Linked DNA regions of Tamandua tetradactyla. The protein of the gene in region 1 purifies or fractionates together with the protein of each later gene. This does not show direct contact. Links are inferred from orthologs where the notes say so. Each region holds a gene or a part of one and is shown on either strand. Other genes may lie near its edges.

Region 1 (10,844 bases):
AATGGACAAGTGGCTATAACAAGCCGTGGTATATACATACAACGGAATATTATGCATCTTTAAGTCAGAATAAAGTCAAGAAGTATGTAACAAATGGATGAACCTTGAGGGCATTATGCTGTGTGAAATTAGCCAGGAACAAAAGGACAAATACTTTATGGTCTCACTAATAACACTCACTAACATTAATGAGTGAACTCTGAGAGATGAAGTTAAGAACAAAGGTTATCAGGAGATGAAGGGTAGAGACTGGGCATTCGGTGCTGAAGGAATACAGATTGTGCAACAGGACTGAATGTAAACTTCAGAAATGAATAGCACAATACTACCCAATTGTAGCACAATAATGTAAATACACTGAATGAAGCTGAATGTCAATATGCTTGAGGGTGATGGGCTAGGGGCACATATGAAACCATAAGTAAAGAGAGGATAAAGACTGGGATGGCATAACTTAGGAATGCCTAGGGTTGACAATGACGGTATTTAAATGTACAAATAAAAAATGTTTTTGCATGAGGGAGAAAAAATGAATATCAACAGTGTAAGGTGTTGAAAATGGATGGTATACAGGAAAAAGTACAATCAATGCAAGCTACGGTCTATACTCACAGTAAGATTGTAATATGCTTCCACTGAATGTAACAAAGGCATTATGCCAAAACTAAATGCTAACAGGCGGGGACTGCGGGGTTGGTGGGTACTGATTCTTTGTGGAAAAAAAGAAAACGTCTTCATATAGATTACGGTGGTGAAGGCATGTCTATTTACTTAGGTCAGACTGTATGATGTGCAAATGAAACTGTTCAAAAATGAACAGAGAGCAGGGTGCAAGTGTAGTTCAGTGGTAGAATTCTCACCTGCTATGCAGGAGACCAAGATGTTTTTAAAAAAATGAACAGAGAGAAAACAAGTGCTAGAGAAAATACGGAGTAAGAGATGCACCTACTCCATGTCAGTAGGGAAAGTGAGAGGTGCAGCCCATTGGAGGGCAGTGTGACGGTTCCACAGGTTCCTGCCATATACTCCTGCAACTCCATTGTTCATTATGTACCTGGAGGAACCGAGTGTGGGGACACAAATGGACATTTGCACACTGGTGTTTATGGCGGCAGTGTTCACAATTCACAATGGACGGAGGTGGCCTAATGGTACAACAACTGAGGAATGGAAGAGGGAACTGTGATGTGTACATAAAATAGACTACTGAGTGGCCACAAGGAATGAATGAAGTTGTGAGGCATGCAAATAGGTGAATGAACCTTAAGGACTATATGTTGAATGAAATGTCAGAAACAAAAAGGCAAATATTATCATGCCTCACTCGTATGAACTAATTATAATATAAAAAACTCGGTGAACTGAAGTCAAGAGCATGGGTTATCAGGGCCTATTGTAAAAGGTCCTAGACTGCAAGCTCTTACAGCAGTCACATATATTTAGGAGTTGTAACTGCTACTCTAAATTCTGAGATAATGAGCTATTTATATATAACCTGGTTGTTTCCAGAAACTTTGGGTATTTATGTGACACCTGAGACTTAAGAGTTAGAGCTCTGAAGCTATGAAAATCAGCACTACCCCATACAGGACCTGTTCAAAAAGCTGAAAAAGGGATCAGATTTCGAATACAAATATGCATGAAACTGATATGCATAGGAATGGAGTAGATTAGAATACATACAGGGTAAAGGATGATATCGTCCATATTTTAAAACTTCAACTTCTGTGTAGGACCAAAGGGAGAGATGTTTAGTTGGTGCAAAATTTATATTTTGGGTAGCACATTACATAATTTAACTTGTACGGTCAGTTTAGTGGAACACCGTAAGTATGTGAATATTGAATAGGGCATGAGATCGTGTTGGTTGATCCAGGCTAGTGGGATGCCCCGATATATTCCAGACTAATATGGGCAGTGAATAAAGAGGTATTTGCAAAGTCCCCTTGGGAATTGGGGAGAAAGGACAAAATATTCAACTTCCCCATTTGGAGAATTCCTGATATTCTCACAAGCAGCAGGGACAAGCAAATCAACAGGCTGTTGTGCTCGATCTTGGGGTTTGCCCTACGAAACTTATTCCTGCAAAGGATAGGGTAAGCCTACTTAAAATTATGCCAAGATTTATCCCCAGAGAACCTCTTTTGTTGCTCAGATGTGGCCTCTCTTTCTAAGGCAAGTCAGCAGGTGAGTTCACTGTTCACCCCCTCTACATGGGACTCCCAGGGGTGTAAATCTCCCTGGCAACTGAGACAGAACTCTTGGAATTTGCTGGGACCCAGCATCATGGGATTAAGAAAGTCTCCTTGATCAAAAGGGGGAAGAGAGCAATGAGACACAATAAAGTTTCAGTGGCTGAGAGAGTGCAAACAGAATCAAGAGATTACCTGGAGGTTATTCTTATGCATTAGACAGATATCCCTTTTTAGTTTATGGTATATTGGAGTGGCTGGAGGGAAGTAACTGAAACTGTTGAGCTGTGTTCTAGTAGCCTCAATTCTCCAAGGCAACTGTATAAAGATGTAAGATTAACAATGTGACTGTGACTGTGTAAATCTCGTGTCTGATGCTTCTTTAATCCAGGGTATGAACAGATGAGTAAAAAAAATATGCATTAATGGCAGATAAGGAGTAAAATAAAGTGAGTAGATGGAAATATTGGTGGTTAATGAGAGGGAGGTCTTTTTTCCAATTTCTTTTTCTGGAGTGATACAAATGTTCTGAAAATGATCATGGTGATGAATACACAACTACGTGATGATATTGTAAGCAACTGATTGTATACCATGAATAACCATGTGTGTGTGAAGATTTATCAATTAAAAAAACAATTACACAGCTGGTAGTATGTCAAGAAAGCTCCCAAGAGGGAAGAACTGAAATGTCCATCAATAAGAGAACAGATAAGCAGGACAGAGTCACACAGTGGAGTATTATCCAGCAATGATAATTAACAAACAGCAGTCACATACACCACACACACAAAAAAAGGATGGTTCTCACAATCCCAGTTTTGAGCAGAAGATGGCAGACACATCATGCTGCAGAATTCTATTTATGTTAAGTTCAAAGCAGGGAAAACTAAGCTAAATTGATCAGGATACATGCATATGCAGTCAACTATCACAGAAAACCAGGCCATGTGAGTAGTTACCAAAATCGGGGTAGGGGTTTGGCTGGTATAGAGCACATGGGCTCTGAGGGCACTGGCAGCACTTGATTTTGCAATATGATTGATTACATGGGTATTTGCTTTTATTTGTTAAACTGTATATTTATTTTACATACTATCTTGTAATGTGTTTTGCAATTAATGTTTTATAAGTACCCCCCCCACCCCACCAACCCCCCTCCAACTTCTGTAGCTTCCTAGTCTTGCAAACCAAGAAAAGCCATATCTTACAGGTTAACCCTCTCAGCCCTACCCTGTTTTGGGGGTGGTACCGTTCTGCTGGCACAGGAGTGGCAGTGGGGGCAGATACTCACAGCTTCAGGACAGCTAGGTTGGCTTCCAGATCATAAGCATTTTCCTTGGCCTGCGTCTCTACATAGCGCTCCAGAGTGGCCAGATTCTCAGGATTGTATCTAAAAGAGGAAGAAAATAGGTGAGTAATAAGGAGACAGAGCTGAAGCCACTTTATGGGGCCCTTTAGTCCTTCCTTCTAAATCTGGCACTGAGCACCTGGCACACTCCAATGTTGAATTAGCATTATAACCTCTAGTAAAATCTAGCTCAGACTTTCTGCTATGCTCCAGATCCCAACGGATCCCTGGATGCCCCATCGCCACCCCCCCTCAGCCCATCAGTCCCTGCAGTCTGTGTGTTTGGCCTCCCAAACATCTCTATTACCCACCCTTTCCTTCCCTTCTCAGAATCCCACTTACTCTGCTCCAGCTCCATCCTTTCCTACCTAGTCTTACACCTTTCCCCAGATTCAACCCTGACTCCATTCTCCATACAACAGCCAGAGGGATTTTTCTAAAGCACAGATACGACCAGGTTCATCTACATAAAGTCATTCTATGGTCCCCATGTTTTCCCTCCATGATCTGGGCCCTTGCAATGTAGTTGGTTCCATCTTTCACCACTTCTGACTCTCACTCCACATTTTAGCCTAACTGTAATAAATGAATGGCTTTTGAGAGTGCAAGGATAGTTCAATGGTGTAATTTTCGCCTGACATGTGGGAGACCCGGGTTTGATTCCTGGCCCATGCACTTTCCAAAAACAAGCATAATAAACAATCAAAAAAATAAGCAAACAAAAATTCAACAAAGGGTGCTGCAATAATGGGATATTCACATGGAAAAATAACGAAGTGTGACCCAGCCATACAACATATATTAAAAAAAAAAAGTCTTTCAACTCCTAAAATCACTAAGCTCATCTCATCTCAGAGTCTTTGACATGTTTCCTCCACCTGGAACATCATTCTTCCCACTCTTATCTGGCTCTAGTCTTTCCCTATCCCTCTTCATTTACTTTACTTCCACTCATTTTCCAGGTCTTAACTTTGACTTCACCACCTTAAAAAGCCTCGCCTGACCCAGGCGGAGTCAGATGTCTCCTCTACCTCAGATTCCCACAGCCCCCTGAGTTCTCCCCATCCCATCCTCTACCTCTGCCTGTGCTTTCCCACTCCAGCCCTCACTCCTGTCTGTATTACCCCGCATCAGAGCCATCAGACTCAACCTGGCCTTCGCTTCCCCATCAGAGTCCTGTCCATTTCCAGCGATCACTTTCTACTGTGGTTCTGGCTCGCCTCTGGACCAGGAACTTCATGAACCCAGGGTGAGCGGCTCTCTTGGTCACCGCTGGATCCCTAGTATCGCCCTCCACTGACAGAACATATTTCTGTGAACATATGTTGAATAAGTAACATGAGGTAGAAAGAGGAGCGAGACTAAGAGGCATTGAGAAAGACACTGAGAATGAGGAGCTAAGAGACAGGAGGCTGGGGGTGCTGAGAGAGGGAAGGCTGAGGAACAAGGCGAGGAGACCTGAAGGCAATCAAGTTGGGGGAGATGAGTCATAGACAAGGTTCTCTCTTGCCTCTAGGTTCTTCGCAGCGCTATTTCCTTAGAAATATCCTCCTTCAGAATGAATTCTTACACATACACAGACACTTAAACTGACGGGGAGACACCACCCCAGAACCGGCCAGGCACCCTGACTACCCCTCGATGTCTCTGGAAAATCCTCTCCTCCCCCCCGCCTGGCCAGAAGCGCTCCCTCCGACCATGCTCAGACCTGTCGATACCCTTGAGCAACTTGCCCACGTTCGCTCTCATCTGTTCAAACATCGCCATGATTACCGCCGTTTCCCACACCAGCAATTGAACCCAAGTCAGAACCCGTGCAGCGTCCTCAAGGGCCGGAAGCGGAAGAGGTTGCGGAAGCGGAAATACGTTTTGTTGTTTCACCGCGCCCCCTCTCAGGATTGTTGCAGCGGTCGCCACGCTTTTCAGCTACCACGTGACTTCTTCTCAGCACGCGTTTATGGCGCGTGCGCATTCGCTCCTCCAGCGCTTGGACCAGTAGCATGACAAAAAGCTTACTCTACCCTAGTGCGCAGGCGCCCTCTGTGGACGGGAAGGCGGGGCTAGGCTTTTCCCGGGCCTCGCGTTCCAGGTCTCGGAGCGCGTGCGTCTGTGCTCAAGTACTTCTCCCGGAAGGAGACGGAACTCTGATGGTTTGCGAGCTCGTCGTTTTGCTCGTGGCGGTGAATTCACAAAACCCTGTGGGATTATACGTTGATGCTCTCCCTCTGGGGTAACTCTCAAAGGCTGTACGCTTTGAGGTCGCCCATGCGTGAGGCCTGGGCACTTGAGGCAGAACCCTGAGACCGACCCCAGTTTGAAGTCCTGAACCCTGTCCTCACCTTCCACCCCAGCTCCAGGGGGAGAGCCCCGTTGGGCTGGTGGGGGCTGGGGTGTGTGTGTGTGTGTTCATTCTCCACGGGGCCTGGTGTGTGTGTGTGTGTGTGTGTGTGTGTGTGTGTTCATTATCCACGGGGCTCCAGTCTTGGGGCAGAAGGCGAGCCCCCCAAGTATGTTTAGAATGCGTATTACGGGTGCGAGTGCCCGGCCATGTGCGTGAATATGGAGGCGTGTGCTCTGGGTACATCCACATTTGTGTACACAGGTAAACAGGAATGTACTACGTCTGCAGGTCTATGAACAGCACAGGCGAGTACTACGTAAGTGCATGTATGTTTCCCAATGTACAGGCATGTACATTGCATGGCCTGTGCAGATCTGCCACCTGCAAGTTGTGCCCAAACCCTCAAGCATTCAGCAGAGCTTCAGCTATGGCCCTGACCCAAAATAGGGGGAGGAGGTGCTGAAGCAGCCCCCCCCCTCCCCACCCCCGGTCGCAATAAAGATCATTTGCATTTCGTTACATCCAGCCCTGGCGCCTGGGGTGGATCAGGGTCCCCTGGGTCCCAAGGCAAGCTGCCCCTCACAGCTTTCAAGGCCCAAGGGACAGGGGGTGGAGCCGGTTGCACCGCCCTGCATCGGGGCAGGAAGCGAGAGTGGGGAGGGGGGAGGCCGCAGCCTGAGGCCGCAGCCTGCCTATGCAAGGCTGGTGGCTGGTGTATAGGGAGGGAGGGAGGTTCCAGCACTCCAGCCCTGAGGCCCTGCTGGCCCCTGGGCACAGGCCCAGCTCCGGCCCCCAGGGATGGACCTCGTGGACCCTGATATCTTTAATAGGGACCCCCGGGACCACTATGACTTGCTGCAACGGCTGGGGGGCGGCACCTACGGGGAAGTCTTCAAGGTGAGGAGCCCTTCACCCCCCACCCCCCACCTCCCTTCTCTATCACCTTCTAAGCAGTGACCTTTGGGAGGAGGCCTGGGAAAGGAAAGGTATGCATGGGTCCTTGGCCTTGGCTCAGGGATGCTGAGGAAGGACTCAGGCCAGCCGGGCCTTAATGACTTCCAACTTCCCCTTACAAGGCCCGAGACAAGGTGACGAGGGACCTGGTGGCATTGAAAATGGTGAAGATGGAGCCTGGTGAGATGAGGACCCAGGAGCTCCCTCCTCCTCCCCTCCCCCCACCTCCTGGGACACCAGGATGGCCTCCCCCATTGCCCCATCCTCCAGCTGCTGCTGCTTCTCTCCCCCTCCTCGCAGACGATGATGTCTCAACCCTTCAGAAGGAAATCCTCATCTTGAAAACTTGCCGGCATGCCAACATCGTGGCCTACCATGGGAGCTATCTCTGGTGAGGGGCCTGGGCCCTGCCTAGGGAGCCAGTCCAGCCCCCAAACCAGAACCCTCATTTCTGACTGGGGCACCTAACATGAGCTACCATTTCTGATCCAAGCACCAGAACCTAACCATCAATCCTGAACCCCCATTTCTAACTGCTGCACCCCTACTGATATCTAGTCCCAAGACCTGTTTTCTGACCAAAGTACCCCCTGTTCTGACCCCCAATTCAGAACTCCCATTTCTGACCAGGGGTCCCCAAAACGATCCCATCATAGTTTCAACTAAACCTGAAACTCGAGTCTCTTCAAACTAATCTGTCATCATTCTGGCCTTTTAGTCCCTGAGTTTCACTTTCTCCTTCATTAATATGAACTCCTCAATTCCTTGACCCAAAAATGAATATACCAGATACCCCAACAATGATCACTGTCCCTCAGATGGGGCACCCTGGGCCCCTTTTCCCCTTCCTACCTCCCCAACCTCTGAGATGCCTGCCTGTCTCCTAGGTTAGCATGGGACAACAGAGGGTGCCCTGGGTTTGGAGCTCTGAAGATCTGTATTCGAGTCCAGCTCACTCTGAAAGCACACTTCTCTTTTTCTTCATTTTTGCTATCTGTAAAATGGAGACAGAACAATTTCACTCTGCCGGGCAACGGGAGATAGAGAGATGACTGCTGTTCCCTTAGTGTGCTGGTTGAACTAGCATAAGACAGACAGTGACCTAGAGGCTCTCCTGCAAATAGTGTTCCTGACATTATCATTTTATTATTGTCATTGAACCACTGCAGGCTGCAAAAGCTCTGGATCTGCATGGAGTTCTGCGGGGCTGGTTCTCTCCAGGACATCTACCAGGGTGAGAGGAGGGAGAAGGAATCCAGGCCCCCTCTGTACCTCCAGGCTACCCCTTCGGTCTCCTCCTGCCTCCCTCTGTTTGCTTCTGCCTGGGATAGGTTTTTTGGACCATAGTTCATACACTGAGCCCCCTGCTCTGGGCTGGGCCCTGCCCTCCAGGACCTGACAGCCCAGCCCAAATCTTTCTGCCTCCAAAGATCCCCTCTCTCCACCTACCCCCATCTCTGTGTCTGCATTTTCTTGTCAAGCAAGACAGTTTTCTGTCCATGTGGTTGAATATTTCCGCATTTCTGGCTCAGAGTAGATGATGCCTAAGGACTCGTTAAATGAGTGAATGAATTTCTGCATCTCTCTCTCTCTCACGCTGCCCTTTACTCTTGGAGAATTTGAAGGTGGAGTGGGTCTCTGAACACCTCTCTGGATTTCTGATGCCTGACTCCCTCCAGCCCAAGACTTCAAATGTCAGAAGTCTTCAGGGAGGGGAAACTGAGGCCCCCATACAGGAAGTGGCTCACACAGCCTGCCTGTCATATCTGGTCTCTGACTACCTTTCTCTGTCTCACTGTCTGTCTGTTTCTCCTCCTTCTCCACCCTTCTGTGTCTCTCTCTTTCTAGATATGTCTGTTTCCCACGTGTCCTCATCATCTCTTTTTCTCTCTGCTTCAGTTGGGATCTGTCCTGCTCCTCTGTCTGTCTCTCTCCATCTCTGCATCTCTGCCTCACCTCATCCTGCAATCACCTAACTCTGAAGAGTTACCCAAAGACCTCATGGGAGGGGTCCCCAAGTCTATCCCGGCCCCCTCCAGCTGACCGACCTTTCCTCCCCCCGCTTTCCTCCCCACCCACCTCGCCACTTTCCCACCAGCCCACTCCCGCCTCCGGCCTCTGCACCTGCTCTTCTCACTCTCCTCAGAGTGGGGCAACTCATGTTACCCAAATACCATCTTCTCAGAGGGGCCGTCCCTGACCACCCTGGCTAAAATTTCATACCCCTCCCCACACTTATTTCCTGTTGTCCTTTCCTACTTTGTTTTGCTTCTCACCACTTGGTAACATCTCATGGTCTATTTTGCTCGGTTCTCTCATGTACTATCTCCCTTCCCCACTGGAATGTTCTCTCCCACAATGGCAGGGTCTCTGTCTGTTTAGGGCCCCAGGCACCCATCTCCTCTGTCTCCCCCGGGCCTCTGTTTCCCCACGTTCCTGCTTCTCTGTGGCTAGACAGCTCTCTGTCTCGCCTCACTCCCCAAACCAGTGTGGGTTGGAGCCGGGGGACACCTGGATCCAGGTTTCCTGGCTTCCCACCCAACGCTGTGCCTTGGGTGACCTGTGCCTCTGCAGTGACCGGCTCCCTCTCAGAACTCCAGATCGGCTATGTCTGCCGGGAAGTGCTCCAGGTAAGGAGAGGACCGGGGGTGGTGGGTGCAGGGCCCTGCTCCCCACCCCACCCTCATACCGTACTCATAGCTCCCCTGTCAACCCTCCTCCCCAGGGGCTGGCCTATTTGCACTCACAGAAGAAGATACACCGAGACATCAAGGTGGTCTGGGGCAGAGGGGTGGTATTGGGGGCATGGGGACCCCAGGGGATGGGAGCTTGGTGTAGTTGAGCTGTCGGGTAGGGGAGCCTGGGGAGAGGGTCCCTGCCAGTCTCTCACCCCTCTCTTGCCTCCAGGGAGCCAATATCCTCATCAATGATGCTGGGGAGGTCAGACTGGGTGAGTGTGGCTGGTGAGGGGGGCAGGGGGCCTGGGGGGAGGGCAGGGGACCCCAGCTCACTGTCTCTCCCTCTGCCTCCAGCTGACTTTGGAATCTCGGCCCAGATCGGGGCGACACTGGCTCGACGCCTCTCCTTCATTGGGACGCCCTACTGGTGAGGGCTCCCTGGCAGGCCCCTGGGGGGTGGGGGGAGCAGCTGCTCCCCCCCCCCCCCACACCTAGTTCTCTGGAGAGTTCTTTCCTGGCTCCTTTCCCCCTGGCCTTTCTCTGTGGGACATCCTGTCATCTTTGGCTCTGTCTTGAGTTTTTCATTTCCCCACGTCTGTTGGTGCCTCTTTCTGCCTGTTTCTGTGCTTGTCTCTTTTTATTTTGGAGATACATGGTTAAGTGTGTTTGTCTCATTTTTATCTTGATCTCTGGGTCTCCCCATCTCCGTCTCTTTCTGCCTTTCCCCTCTCTGTCTCTCAGTCTGTCTCTGCATCTCCCTCTCCATCCTTATGTCTCTCTCTCCATCTGGCTCTCTCTACTCCTCTCCGTGTCTCTCCTCCCCCTTCTCCCCATGCCCAGGAGTCTGTCCCCCACTCTTGCCACCCCCTCCCTATGCCACCCTTGGCTCTCTAAGGGTCTCTGCCCCCAGGATGGCTCCAGAAGTGGCAGCCGTGGCCCTGAAGGGAGGATACAATGAGCTGTGTGACATCTGGTCCCTGGGCATCACAGCCATCGAGCTGGCTGAGCTGCAGCCACCGCTGTTTGACGTGCACCCTCTCCGGTAGGACTCCGGGCCCCAGAGATGCGCCCGGCCCTGATCCTGTGGACTCCCCAGCTTGCTTCCCCACATCAAGATCTCTCTTTAGGGGACCCCCTTACTCAGAGCCCATATGAGACCCTTAAGAATTCCCCAACCCAGAAAACCTTATGTTCAGCCCTCCACACCAGGAACCCCCATCCTGAGTCTCCCTCTGCCTCTGCGTCTGTTTGAAATGTGATAAATGTGCCCCCAGGGGTGGCATCTTTGCGGGGACAACACCCGAGCCTCATCCTCCCTCCCCACCCTG
Region 2 (10,844 bases), on another chromosome or scaffold:
GTTCTAAGAAATGATAATTTCAACTAAGTGATGATACTGTGAATTACTGATTATCTATGTTAATTTTTATTTCATTTGTTAATTTTTTTAAATTAATAAATAAAATTTTAAAAAATGGCTGTAAGTTCATGATTATTGTTGTGGAGGGATGGGTACAGGCAACTCATAGGACTATTTGTTTATGATTGAAATTTCTATATAAAAAGTTTTTATAAGCTACAATTCACTTTTACTGGCACGTACCCCTTTTTCCACAACCCTGCAAGCAATGTTCTTTTTAATTTTTGCTAGTCTGACAGAAAAAAAGGGCATTTCACTGTTTACTTAAATTATATCTTTCTGACTATGAGTGAATTTGAGCATCTTTTCACATGCTCTTTAGGTCTGCTCTTCTGAGGAGTGCCCATTTTTCTGTTTATCCTTTTCTTGTCAACTTATAAGAGTTTTTACATATTAAATTCTATCTGATGGAAAAGTTTTGGTTCGCAAGGTGGGAATGGTAGCACACCACCATGAATGTAATTAACACCACTGAACTGTACACTTGAAAGCAGTTAAGATGGAAAATGTCATGATGTATGTGTATTTGGCAGACTGAACTATGCATCTCAGTAAAAAAAAAAGTCCTTAAATCTTAATCCATTCCTGTGAGTGTGTACCCATTAGAAATAGGACCTTGTGATGATGCTGTTCTCAGTTAAGGAGGCTGGGCCTTGATCCTATTCTTGGAGGCTTTATGAAGTGAAAGAAGCAAGAAGCTGGAAGCCTGCAGGAACCCGGAGAAGAATGGAGGACGTCAACAAGTGACAGAAAAGCCAAGGACCTAAGGATCACTGGCAGCCCAATCCCAGAACACCAGTCTTTGGGAGAAAGCATTATGTTGCTGATGCCTTAATTTTGGACTTCTAGCCTTAAATCTGTGAGTCAATAAATTCCCGTTGTCTAAGCCAACCCAATATATGGTATTTGTTTTAGCAGCCAGGAAACTAAGATAATATGTTAACACAAAAATTTAAAAAAAAAGACTCTGCAGTGCACATTTCCCCCCAAATCTATTGTTTCTCAATAGATTTTATATGTGATCTCTTTTGCTATATATAAGTTTTCTTTCAAAGTTTCCAGGTTCTATCTGAAAGGCCTCCCCCCACCAGTAGACTGTACACACCTTCCCAGCTTTCCTTACAAGACTTTTCCTGATCTGCAATTTATTTTTATGATTAAGACATGGTAAAATTTTGTTTTCTTACAGATGAATAGCCAAATGTAGCACATGACATTAAATCATCCTTTGCCTACTGAATTGAATTACCACATGAGACATATATATACTAGATTTATCTCTGGATTCTCTAGTCTGTTCCACTGATCCATTTGCCTCTTCCTTTGTGAATACCATATTTATTTGAATCATCGTGGTTTTACTCAAATCCAGTATTGCTTATCCATAATTCCTAACTCCAAAAGTAATAAAAACTAAAAATTTTTGTAAATTTGTGGCACAACACCACTTAGTCTTCATAACTACCATCTGGTATGAATACTGATATACATTTCTCTGCAGAAATATTAATATGTTTGATTACAAGGTGCCCCTCCTGACCTCTGGTCTGGGGTACTGCACATACACTGTACTACCTTCCTAAAATCCACAGAATTCCTAATCCCAACCACATCTAGCCCCAAGTGGCTCAGATAAGGGACTGTGGCCTTCTATTTTCATGTGCACATCTATTTTCAGTAGCGCCAGCCACTACTATATTACTTCTTTTTATCCTAACAACAGCCCTGTGAGGTAAGGATTAGCCCCCCTTAAAAGTAAGGAAAATGAGGTTCAGAGAGATAAGATTCACCCAAGGCCACACAGTTATAAATGAACAGACCTAGGATTCAAATTTATATCTGCCTGACTCCAAATCGTATATTTAACCACTGTAATTGAAAAGAATGTATCTGACTGCACTTGCATATGGTAGTTGCTCAACACAAAGGAGTTATTGTTACATTAGAGACAAGCGGGAAGGTTGGACAGATTTCTGCCCACCTGAGACTTTGACAAATGTCCTGGGCTGACCTAAGGGAACAAAGAATCAAGGAGTTGCACTGTGCCTTTGGCAGCAACGGCGGCACCTATCAAGCCCAAATTATGCGGACCCTTCTGTGGGGAGATCATTACAGACACCGCCCCTGCTCCTTGGTAACCACACGCAACCAAGAGGCTCTGATCAAAGATGTGGACATGTTGGAGTAAATCCAACAGGACCTGGAGCATGCAACTCAGGGGCTGGAGAAATACAACACAAAGAACACTGTGGCCCAGATCAAGGAGGAGTTTGACAAGTATAACCTCAGTGGCACTGCATCATGGGGGGGAATCTTCGGTAGTCATGTGACACATGAAACCAAGCACTTCATCTACTTCTACCTCGGCCAAGTGGCCATTCTTCTGTTTAAGCTTGGTCAAAGCATGGCCTGTGCCACCCACCCAAGGATCCATACAAAACAAAGACAGTAGCCCAAAGTCCAAATGCCAGAGACTGAAATTCTCAGCCTTCTAAGAGAAGACCTTGATCTCTAGAACTTCTTGTGTTTTTCTGTATGGGGCCTTCTCTGTATTAGTTTGTTGTGGTTATAAAACAATTAGCAAAACAGCTTATGCATGTTACTTACTTTCTATTCCATACTTCTCCCTGCCCTATGTTTTTTTATTTCAAAATCTGTTCCTTTTAAACAAAATAAATCTATTGGAGATGGGGGAGGAGAACCAAAGAACATGACAATGTCCAAGAAGGGACAAGTAGACATTCAATATAGAGTAGCTATCCTCATCCTCATGGTATTTCTGAGATACCAGTGTTGTTCCTTTTATTTTTATTGTGGTAATGTACATATATGACATTTTCCATTTTAAGCATACAATTCAGAGGTGTTGATTACATTCACACTGTTGTGTGACCATCACCACCATCTAGAGATACTGCTTCTTAATATTTTCAAAAGTTCATCTCTCCCTCTTTGTCCATCTACCTCTTACTCATCCTTCTTATCTCAAATACCATTTTCTCAGGAAGTCTTCTCTGAACCCCCAACCTAGGTTAGTCCCTGTTTTCTGCTCCCAGGGCTCCTGCCCTAACACCCAGCACTTCTTCATTCTCTATTTTTCTCAACTCCCCTGACAGATCCAGGAAGACAGAGACCATGCCTTTTCTCACTTTTGTAACCCCCAAGGGCTCTGTATAGTTACCGAACAGAGCAAAGGATTGAGTTCAAAAATTTTTGCTCAATGAGTGACTGAATGACTGCCAATAACACAAGGTAGTCAGTCCTATAGAAAATTCAGCAGAACTTGTGCTAATACAGAAGAAATACTGAACCAGAAGGCATCCTGCAGGTCAGTGAGTCCATCTTCCATTTTACAGACGTGAAAAATTGAAAGGACCATAGAGTTGGTGGGAACTCAGCCAGGGTATACAGACCAAGAACCAGAGACCCCTAGTCCCCAGGCCCACATATCTACAGCAAAGTAGCCTCAGATCTTCAAACACATTATAGAACATCACCTTATTAGAGGACTTATGCCACAGAAAAGCTCTTTATAAAATGTCTCCTTGTTACTGTCTGAAGCTTAAATGAAAACAAATATTTAAGTTATAAAATCATAGTTCAGTGATTTTATATGATGTATCAATTTTCAAAAGATGTAATTATAATGAAATACACCCCTAGGAATCAGAAGACAATTCAGTATCAGGGGAGAGAGGTTCAGATCCAGTATAGCAAACCTCAAGTCACAAACCCTTGAGCTTTGGGTCACAGCATCTAGACCAGTTGGGATTGGTTGACTTTGAATTCTCGTCTTCTAAGCCTCAATTTCTAACATCCTCTGATTATAATTAGTTAAACCTCTTCAATGAAAAAGGAACAAAGAATAATGCCAGTGACAGAAGGCGTATTTTAGAGTAGACTCTAGTCCCAACCCCAGTTCTCCCACAACTCAGTTCAAGACCTGGGATAAGTTGCAAAACATCCATGAACCAATGTCCTCATGTGTAAAATGGGGGTAGTAACACCTGCCTCTCTTGTAGAATAGATACAGCAGCTGACAAATTGTAGGGCTGCAATAAACGACAGCTTGCTTCCCTTCCCCTATTCCCTGGCCTTGGTGTTTTGCTTCTGCTGAAGGTTACTATTATGCCAAAAGAAAGCCAGGTAAGCTTTTCTCAAGAGATAGAGCTACCCAAAGAAGAGCGGGCCCCCAACACATACCTTCTCAGCCATTCCCTCTTCTCCTCCAATGAAGAAGTCTGTTTTACGTCGTAGGAAGCTGAAGAAGGTATTGACAAGCTGAAAGACAGAAGACTGAATTTGTGGGGCATGTCATATTGGGAATCCTCCACTGCACAAGAACCAACTTCCTAAGTTCAAGAGAACTTGGGACTTAACTATTCTCACCTGAGTCTTCCACAGGCCTCCTTAGTCACTCCTGCCAGGAAGCCAAACCTAACCTTAGCCAAACCACTTGGAAAGTGGATTTCTCATATCTTGTGTATATACGTGCTCATGGTTCCATACTTCTTGTGGTGTTAGAAGTAGCCTGAGGATGTAGAACATTCAAACCTCTGCACCCAGGGCTTAAAATACTCTTAAAAGGAAAAAAAGCTATCCAGAGTGGCACTGGTTGAGCTAGCAGGGCAGCCAGAAAGAGGGGAGGAAAGGAAGCCACCTTAAAGAAGGGCAAGACCAAATAACTCTGGCTAAGGTACCATTGTAGCCAAGTGGTTAAGAGCATGTGTTTGAGTGTCAAACTGATTATTTATTAGCTGTGAACTTGGGGAAGTGTCTTAACTCTGTAAAGCAGGAATAGTAGCAAGATCTATTTCAAAGGACCCTGTGAAAATCAAACAAGGTAATGGAGGGAAGGCCCTTTGCAGTGTTCAGCACAGAACAACAGGCCACTACCAGAGCATGGACTCCTCGCAAGCCGGAGTCAGGTGCCATAGCTTATTCTCACTCCTTCCCCAATGCCTGGCACATGCAGCTCAGAGTCCATGCTCAGTACAGTTCTTGATTAATGAATAGAGCTAGTAGTGACCTAATGTTAGCATATCCAAGTGCTATTATTTGCCCATATAGTTCTAAATCTGATGCTAGAATTTATCTCAACGATACAATTCCTGCTTCTGGATACTTTTCCAATCCACTGAAAACTGAACTCAATCCTAAATCTCATTTTGTCTCAAAGATTTAGGGGAAGGTAGAGGGCAGAAAGACATTTTACACTTGCAAATTAGTTATACCCTCTCTACTTCCCAGGGCTCGGGAACCCTTGCACACCATGGACACCTGAGGGAAATAATTGAAATGGACAGCACAGTGAAAACCTGCGCACAATGATAAGCAGAATAAGCAAAGGATTGTGAAAAGCACACTGGCCTAAGGAGTTTGGTCCAGGCTAGGTCAGAGCCGAAGGGATGATCTCAGCCAAGTCCTCACCCCTCTCTGGGCCTTAGTTTCATAAACAGAATGACTGCTCTGGACTGATCTTGACAGGCTTTCCTATTTCTCACTTTCTGTTTCTGTTTCAAAACACAAACTCCAAAATCTACACTACGTGCCCTTAAAGTTCATGGACTGATCACTCAGCATGAATCATGCTTTTGGAAAAGCACTTTGCTATCTCCATCGGGGACAAGGAGGTTTCTGCTCAAGTCTGTATCCCCAAGACCCAGCCCAGGGAGTGTCTGGCACACTTCAATCACTCAACAAATGCTGGCTGAACTAACAAGCCTGATCACTGAAAACTCTCCACTGTCCTTCCTCAAGATACCACTTCTCTACAATGATTCAGGAAAACAGGGATTCATAGAGCCCCTTCTCAGAAATAAGGAAACTGATGCTTGAGGAGGGGTGGAACGGTCCCAAGCTGGTGGGTGGTGGAAACCAATTGTGAGCACAGGCCTCCTATTCTCCCATTCAAGACCTTTTTAAAAAGGCCACGTGCTAACACACCCTCCACCCCCAACAAACACCCCACAGACTCTAGTCCGCTCACTGCAAATCTTGGTAGATGCAAATCACAATGCCTAACAAAGTTTATCCTAAGGAATGCTCTTCGGGGGCGGCCATCAATGGGAGCACCGGACTGGAACCATGTGGGAAATCAAAAGGGAAAACCCAAGACTCTGGGTATGGGTTTCAACGGGCACAATGAAAACAGAATAAGTAAAGTATTGTGAAAAGCACACTGGCCTAAGGAGCTTGGTTCAGGCTAGGTCAGAGCCTAAAGGATGATCTCAGGTAAGTCCCCACCCCTCTCTGGGCCTCGGTTTCATAAACTGAATGATTTGTTCTGGACGCCGAAGTGGCAGCGATAGGAGCGAGAAAGGCGCCCGGGGGCCGGAACTGATATGAAAAGACAGGGACACGCCGGCTGAGAGTCCAGACCGGAAGCTGGAGCGCGGGGAGAAAGTGGGGGACTCGCGGAAGCCCGCGAGCCCCAGGGGTGGATCTCGGTCCTCGAAGGCAAAGAAGGGAAGAGGGAGCGTGATAAGAGCCGCCCGGAGAGGCAGGCCACGCTGAAGCCGGCTGGGCCGACGCCGCGCGGGGCCGTTACCTCCTGCACGCCGCCCTCGTGCTGCTGAGCCATGGCCAGCAACATGCCGTCGAACCGTTCCTCTTCCTGGTCCCCACCCATCGCGCCGGCCTCTATCCGTTCCCCGAACTCCGCACTCGCGCCCCAAGCGCTCCTCGCTCCTTTGGTCGCGTCGGGCCAACGGCTCGCGTCCTTCGCTTTCCGCAGCGGAGCCGGAAACACGCACGTGAGCCCGCGGCCCGAGCCCGCCTTCTTCTCTTCCTCTCCCGCCTCTGGCCCAGGCGGTGGCCATTGGCCGCGCGGCAAACATCCCGTTTCACAGTCCATTGGCCGTGGATTGCTCAGCCAATCAACGAGGCGTCCATGAAGCGGTGGGCGGAGCCGAAGGCCTAGGAGTTTGGCGTCAGTTGCTATGGTCACCAAATGCTTTGGAGCCTTCCAGAAAGCACAGGGCTCAAATCTGGCGGGATTGGAAATTGGAAAGGAAGAAACTTTGCTTTTCTGTTTTGTAGAACGGTGGAGCTGAAAATACACTTAGTCATCTTTTCCAATACTTACAGGAGGCAACTGAGGCCCAGAACGTAGAAGGGTCTTACCCGAAGGACCGCCCCACCCCCACCCCTCACAGTCACCATCACAGACTCAACGAGAACCGGCTTCTTGCCATTCAAACTCTGCAGCTACACAGGCCCCAGGCTTGAAGAGCCCTCTATGCTTGGTTTACTACTCCGCTGTCGCAGTCTTGAAATTCTTAATAATTTTTGAACAATGAGCCTCATATTTTCATTTCACACTAGGCGGCACTGATAGTGTAACTTTCCCTGTTCTCAGCCTTCACTCTGTCAATGTGGGAACAGATCCTGGCCATCTAAGGTGGCTCTCTCTACTCTATTTAAACAATGAATTTTATCATCTTAGTGTTTTTAGGGACTCTACACTATGCAGTTTTCCCTTTTGTATCTCCTGCATCACAAATTTCTTCCTTCTGGATCATTCCTATCTACTTACAAATATGGTATAATAGTAATTAAAAAACAAAATCCATGAGTTCACTTTTCTCCTCCTGCTCCGATTTTTAGTGCTCATTCTATAGCACAATTCTATGCTTGTTTCTCCACTTTCCACCTCTCATCTTGCCTCAACTTATTCTAATTGGTCTTTTCTTAAACAGCTCTGATCAAATTACAATGACCTACATATTACCAAAGCCAATGGACCGCTGTTATCTTATGCAACTTTTCAGCTGCAACTGCTGCAGTTGACCCCTTCTTCCTTCTGGAAACACTTTTTTTCTTTAGGCTTCTGTGTCACCATTTAACTGGTTTTCTTCCCAACTTATTAACATTTCTCAGTGTCCTGTGCGTCACAGACTTGTAAAATGTTGGAGGTTCTATCCCCTGCTTTTTCCTCTTTTCCTCTCTAGCCACACTCTCTCCTTAGGTGATCTCATTGACTCCAGTGGTTGTCCTGATGATGTCCAAATCGATATCTGTGGCCCTGACCTTTCCTGAGCTCCAGGCTCATCTATCTAACTGCCTCCTGGACAGCTCCACTTAAATAGTAGACATCTGAAAAGTAACATGGCGGACTTGGAACACCCCCTCCCCAACTACTTCCTCCCAAAGTCTTCCTGATTGAGTTAAATGGCTCTTTCAAACTCCCATTTGCCAAAGCCAAAATCTCCATTCATTCACACATTTGTCCAAGCCCAATTCTAGTTTCATCTAATCCATTAGTAAATTCTGTCAGCTCTCCCTCCAAAATATATCCTGATTCTGATCCCTTTTGATCATCTATGCTGCTACCACTCCAGTCGTTGCTTTGACAACCACTCCTACAGTTTCCTAACTGGGCTCCTTACTTCCTTTCTTGTCCTTTTATAGTCCACTCTCCACCCAGTAGCCAGATCAATCCTTCTAAAATGTAAGCCAGATTTTGTTACTTCCTTCTTAAAACCAGCCCTTTGGTGGAACTGCCATTGCATTCAGGATAAATTCCAAACTCCCAACTGTGGCCTCATCAGGGACTTGGCCACCTCTCCAGTCTTATTACATCCTGCTTCCTTCTTCATTCACCCGGCTCCCTCTTCACTGGCTTCCTTCACTTCTTCTAATTCCTTGCCCTAGGTTCTAGACCTTTTCTGGCCAACTCCTTTTCATTCATCAGGTCTCAGCCCAAGTGCCACTTCATCTATGAGGCCTTTACTGACCATTATGTACAGATTAAATCTTTATAGCTTTTACTTTCAAAATGTCCTCTGCTATGTGGCCTCTCTCTCCAGCCAACACAACAAGCAAACTCACTGCCCTCCCTCTGTCTATGTGGGACATGACTCCCAGGGATGTGGACCTTCCTGGCAACGTGGGACAGAAATCCTAGAATGAGCTGAGACTCAGCATCAAGGGATTGAGAAAACCTTCTCAACCAAAAGGGGGAAAGAGAGAAATGAGACAAAATTAAGTGTCAATGGCTGAGAGATTCCAAACAGAGTTGAGAGGTTATCCTGGAGGTTATTCTTACGCATTAAATAGATGTCACCTTGTTAGTCAAGAGGTAATGGAGAGGCTGGAGGGAACTGCCTGAAAATGCAGAGCTGTGTTCCAGTAGCTATGTTTCTTGACGATGATTGTATAATGATATAGCTTTCACAAAGTGACTGTGTAATTGTGAAAACCTTGTGTCTGATGCTCCTTTTATCTACCTTATCAACAGACAAGTAAAGCATATGGAATAAAAATAATTAGGGAGAACAGATGTTAAAATAAATTTAGTAACTTGAAATGCTAGTGATCAATGAAAGGGAGGGATAAGGGGTATGATATGTATGAATTTTTTTCTGTTGTCTTTTTATTTCTTTTTCTGTATTGATGCAGATGTTCTAAGAAATGATCATGATGATGAATATGCAACTATGTGATGATATTGTGAATTACTGATTATATATGTAGAACGGAATGATCATATGTTAAGAATGTTTGTTTTTTGTTATATATATTTTTTAAAGAATGTTTTTGTTTGTTAGGTGTTATATTTTTTAAAAAAAATTAATTTAAAAAGGGGGAAAAATGTCCTCTGCTTGTCCTTTGTAATTACTTATTATAATTTGAAATTTATGATCAAGAAATTGTGGTTCTACACCAAGATCCAGTAATCTTCTCTTGCTGGAATATAAGCTCTATGAAAGCACGTGTCTGATTTTTCACTATATTCTGAGCATTCATCTCAGAGCCTCAAACATTGTAAAAACCTCAATAAATACCTGGGAAATGAACAAATGGTCTTTGCCTGATACCTTTGAATCTCATTATAAATTTATCAATAAATATTGGTAGAATTTACTGACTTCTCACTGTGTCCAGTACTTGACTGAGCACTTTAAAAATATTATTTGACTTAACCTATACAGTGTTCCTATGATGTAAATGCTGATATCCCCATTTGGGGAGTGAGAAAACAGGGACAGAGAAGTGAAGTCACATGCTGAAGTTTGCACAGCTGGAAGGGCAGAGGCAGGATTCAAACCCAAGCAATCTTGCCCAACAGCCCACACACTTACCCACTTCATCTTAGAATTCTACCTCCCTGAATTGACATTCTGATTTTGTAAATCAGTCCTGGATGTTTGTTTGATGAGAAACCAAGACCTGAAATTAGACCCTGGTAAGTTCACCGAGATAATAAATATTGTCCAGGAAGGCCCCTTGGTGACTAGTCAGCCTCCCCTAATGCCTTCTGACCCCATCCACATTTGGTAATGAGTGACGGCACTATGTGCTAAGTGCTTCATTAGATGTGGACTAGGTGACCTTGGAACTCAGGGAGGGAGCAATTTATTCTACTGAAGAGGTGGAGAGGGAAAGACCAGAAGGCTGTGCTTAAGTGGTAACATTGGAGCTAGACCAGGAGCTTACCAAGCAAACAGGCATCCCAGGCAGTGGGTGACCATGAGCAAAAGCTTTGAGGCATGGATGTGTATGACACCTCCAGGAAATGAAAAGGTGCCCAGTGCTGGCTTGCATACTCCCAATCCTTAACCCCGCTGACTGCAATCTGGGATTTTCCAGCTGCCCCCTGGACCAGTCCAAGACTTCTGCACACAAGAGTAACCGTATGCACCCTGGTCATGGGATTGTAAAGCAATTTCAAATACATTATCTCATTGGATGCTCTTTAATCTTACAGTTAATGTCCCGTCCAGTACCTGGCACATGGTAGATGATCAAAGTGACAGCTATTATTATTGTTAATGGCAACG

What was found.
Region 2: the proteins of MAP4K1 (region 1) and NUDC purify together in Homo sapiens (affinity purification with mass spectrometry; 3 studies listed by BioGRID and IntAct, with this or other methods). This does not show direct contact. The link is inferred for Tamandua tetradactyla from reciprocal best matches to the Homo sapiens genes MAP4K1 and NUDC.

What each region holds. Positions count from the first base shown.
Region 1 is NC_135342.1:25,376,455-25,387,298, forward strand, and holds the start of MAP4K1 (mitogen-activated protein kinase kinase kinase kinase 1), read left to right. Parts: upstream 1-5,558; 5' UTR 5,559-5,690; coding exon 5,691-5,773; intron 5,774-6,547; exon of another isoform or gene 6,548-6,682; coding exon of another isoform or gene 6,683-6,714; coding exon 6,715-6,781; intron 6,782-6,960; coding exon 6,961-7,018; intron 7,019-7,138; coding exon 7,139-7,229; intron 7,230-8,007; coding exon 8,008-8,072; intron 8,073-9,412; coding exon 9,413-9,468; intron 9,469-9,563; coding exon 9,564-9,611; intron 9,612-9,745; coding exon 9,746-9,788; intron 9,789-9,870; coding exon 9,871-9,943; intron 9,944-10,411; coding exon of another isoform or gene 10,412-10,426; coding exon 10,427-10,558; intron 10,559-10,844. Other genes in the region: EIF3K (eukaryotic translation initiation factor 3 subunit K), read right to left, coding at 3,487-3,585, 5,252-5,310. UniProt on the Homo sapiens protein: Serine/threonine-protein kinase, which plays a role in the response to environmental stress. Appears to act upstream of the JUN N-terminal pathway.
Region 2 is NC_135328.1:199,314,953-199,325,796, forward strand, and holds the start of NUDC (nuclear migration protein nudC), read right to left. Parts: upstream 6,870-10,844; 5' UTR 6,692-6,869; coding exon 6,611-6,691; intron 4,634-6,610; exon of another isoform or gene 4,450-4,633; intron 4,342-4,449; coding exon 4,264-4,341; intron 2,513-4,263; exon of another isoform or gene 2,057-2,512; intron 1-2,056. UniProt on the Homo sapiens protein: Plays a role in neurogenesis and neuronal migration. Necessary for correct formation of mitotic spindles and chromosome separation during mitosis. Necessary for cytokinesis and cell proliferation.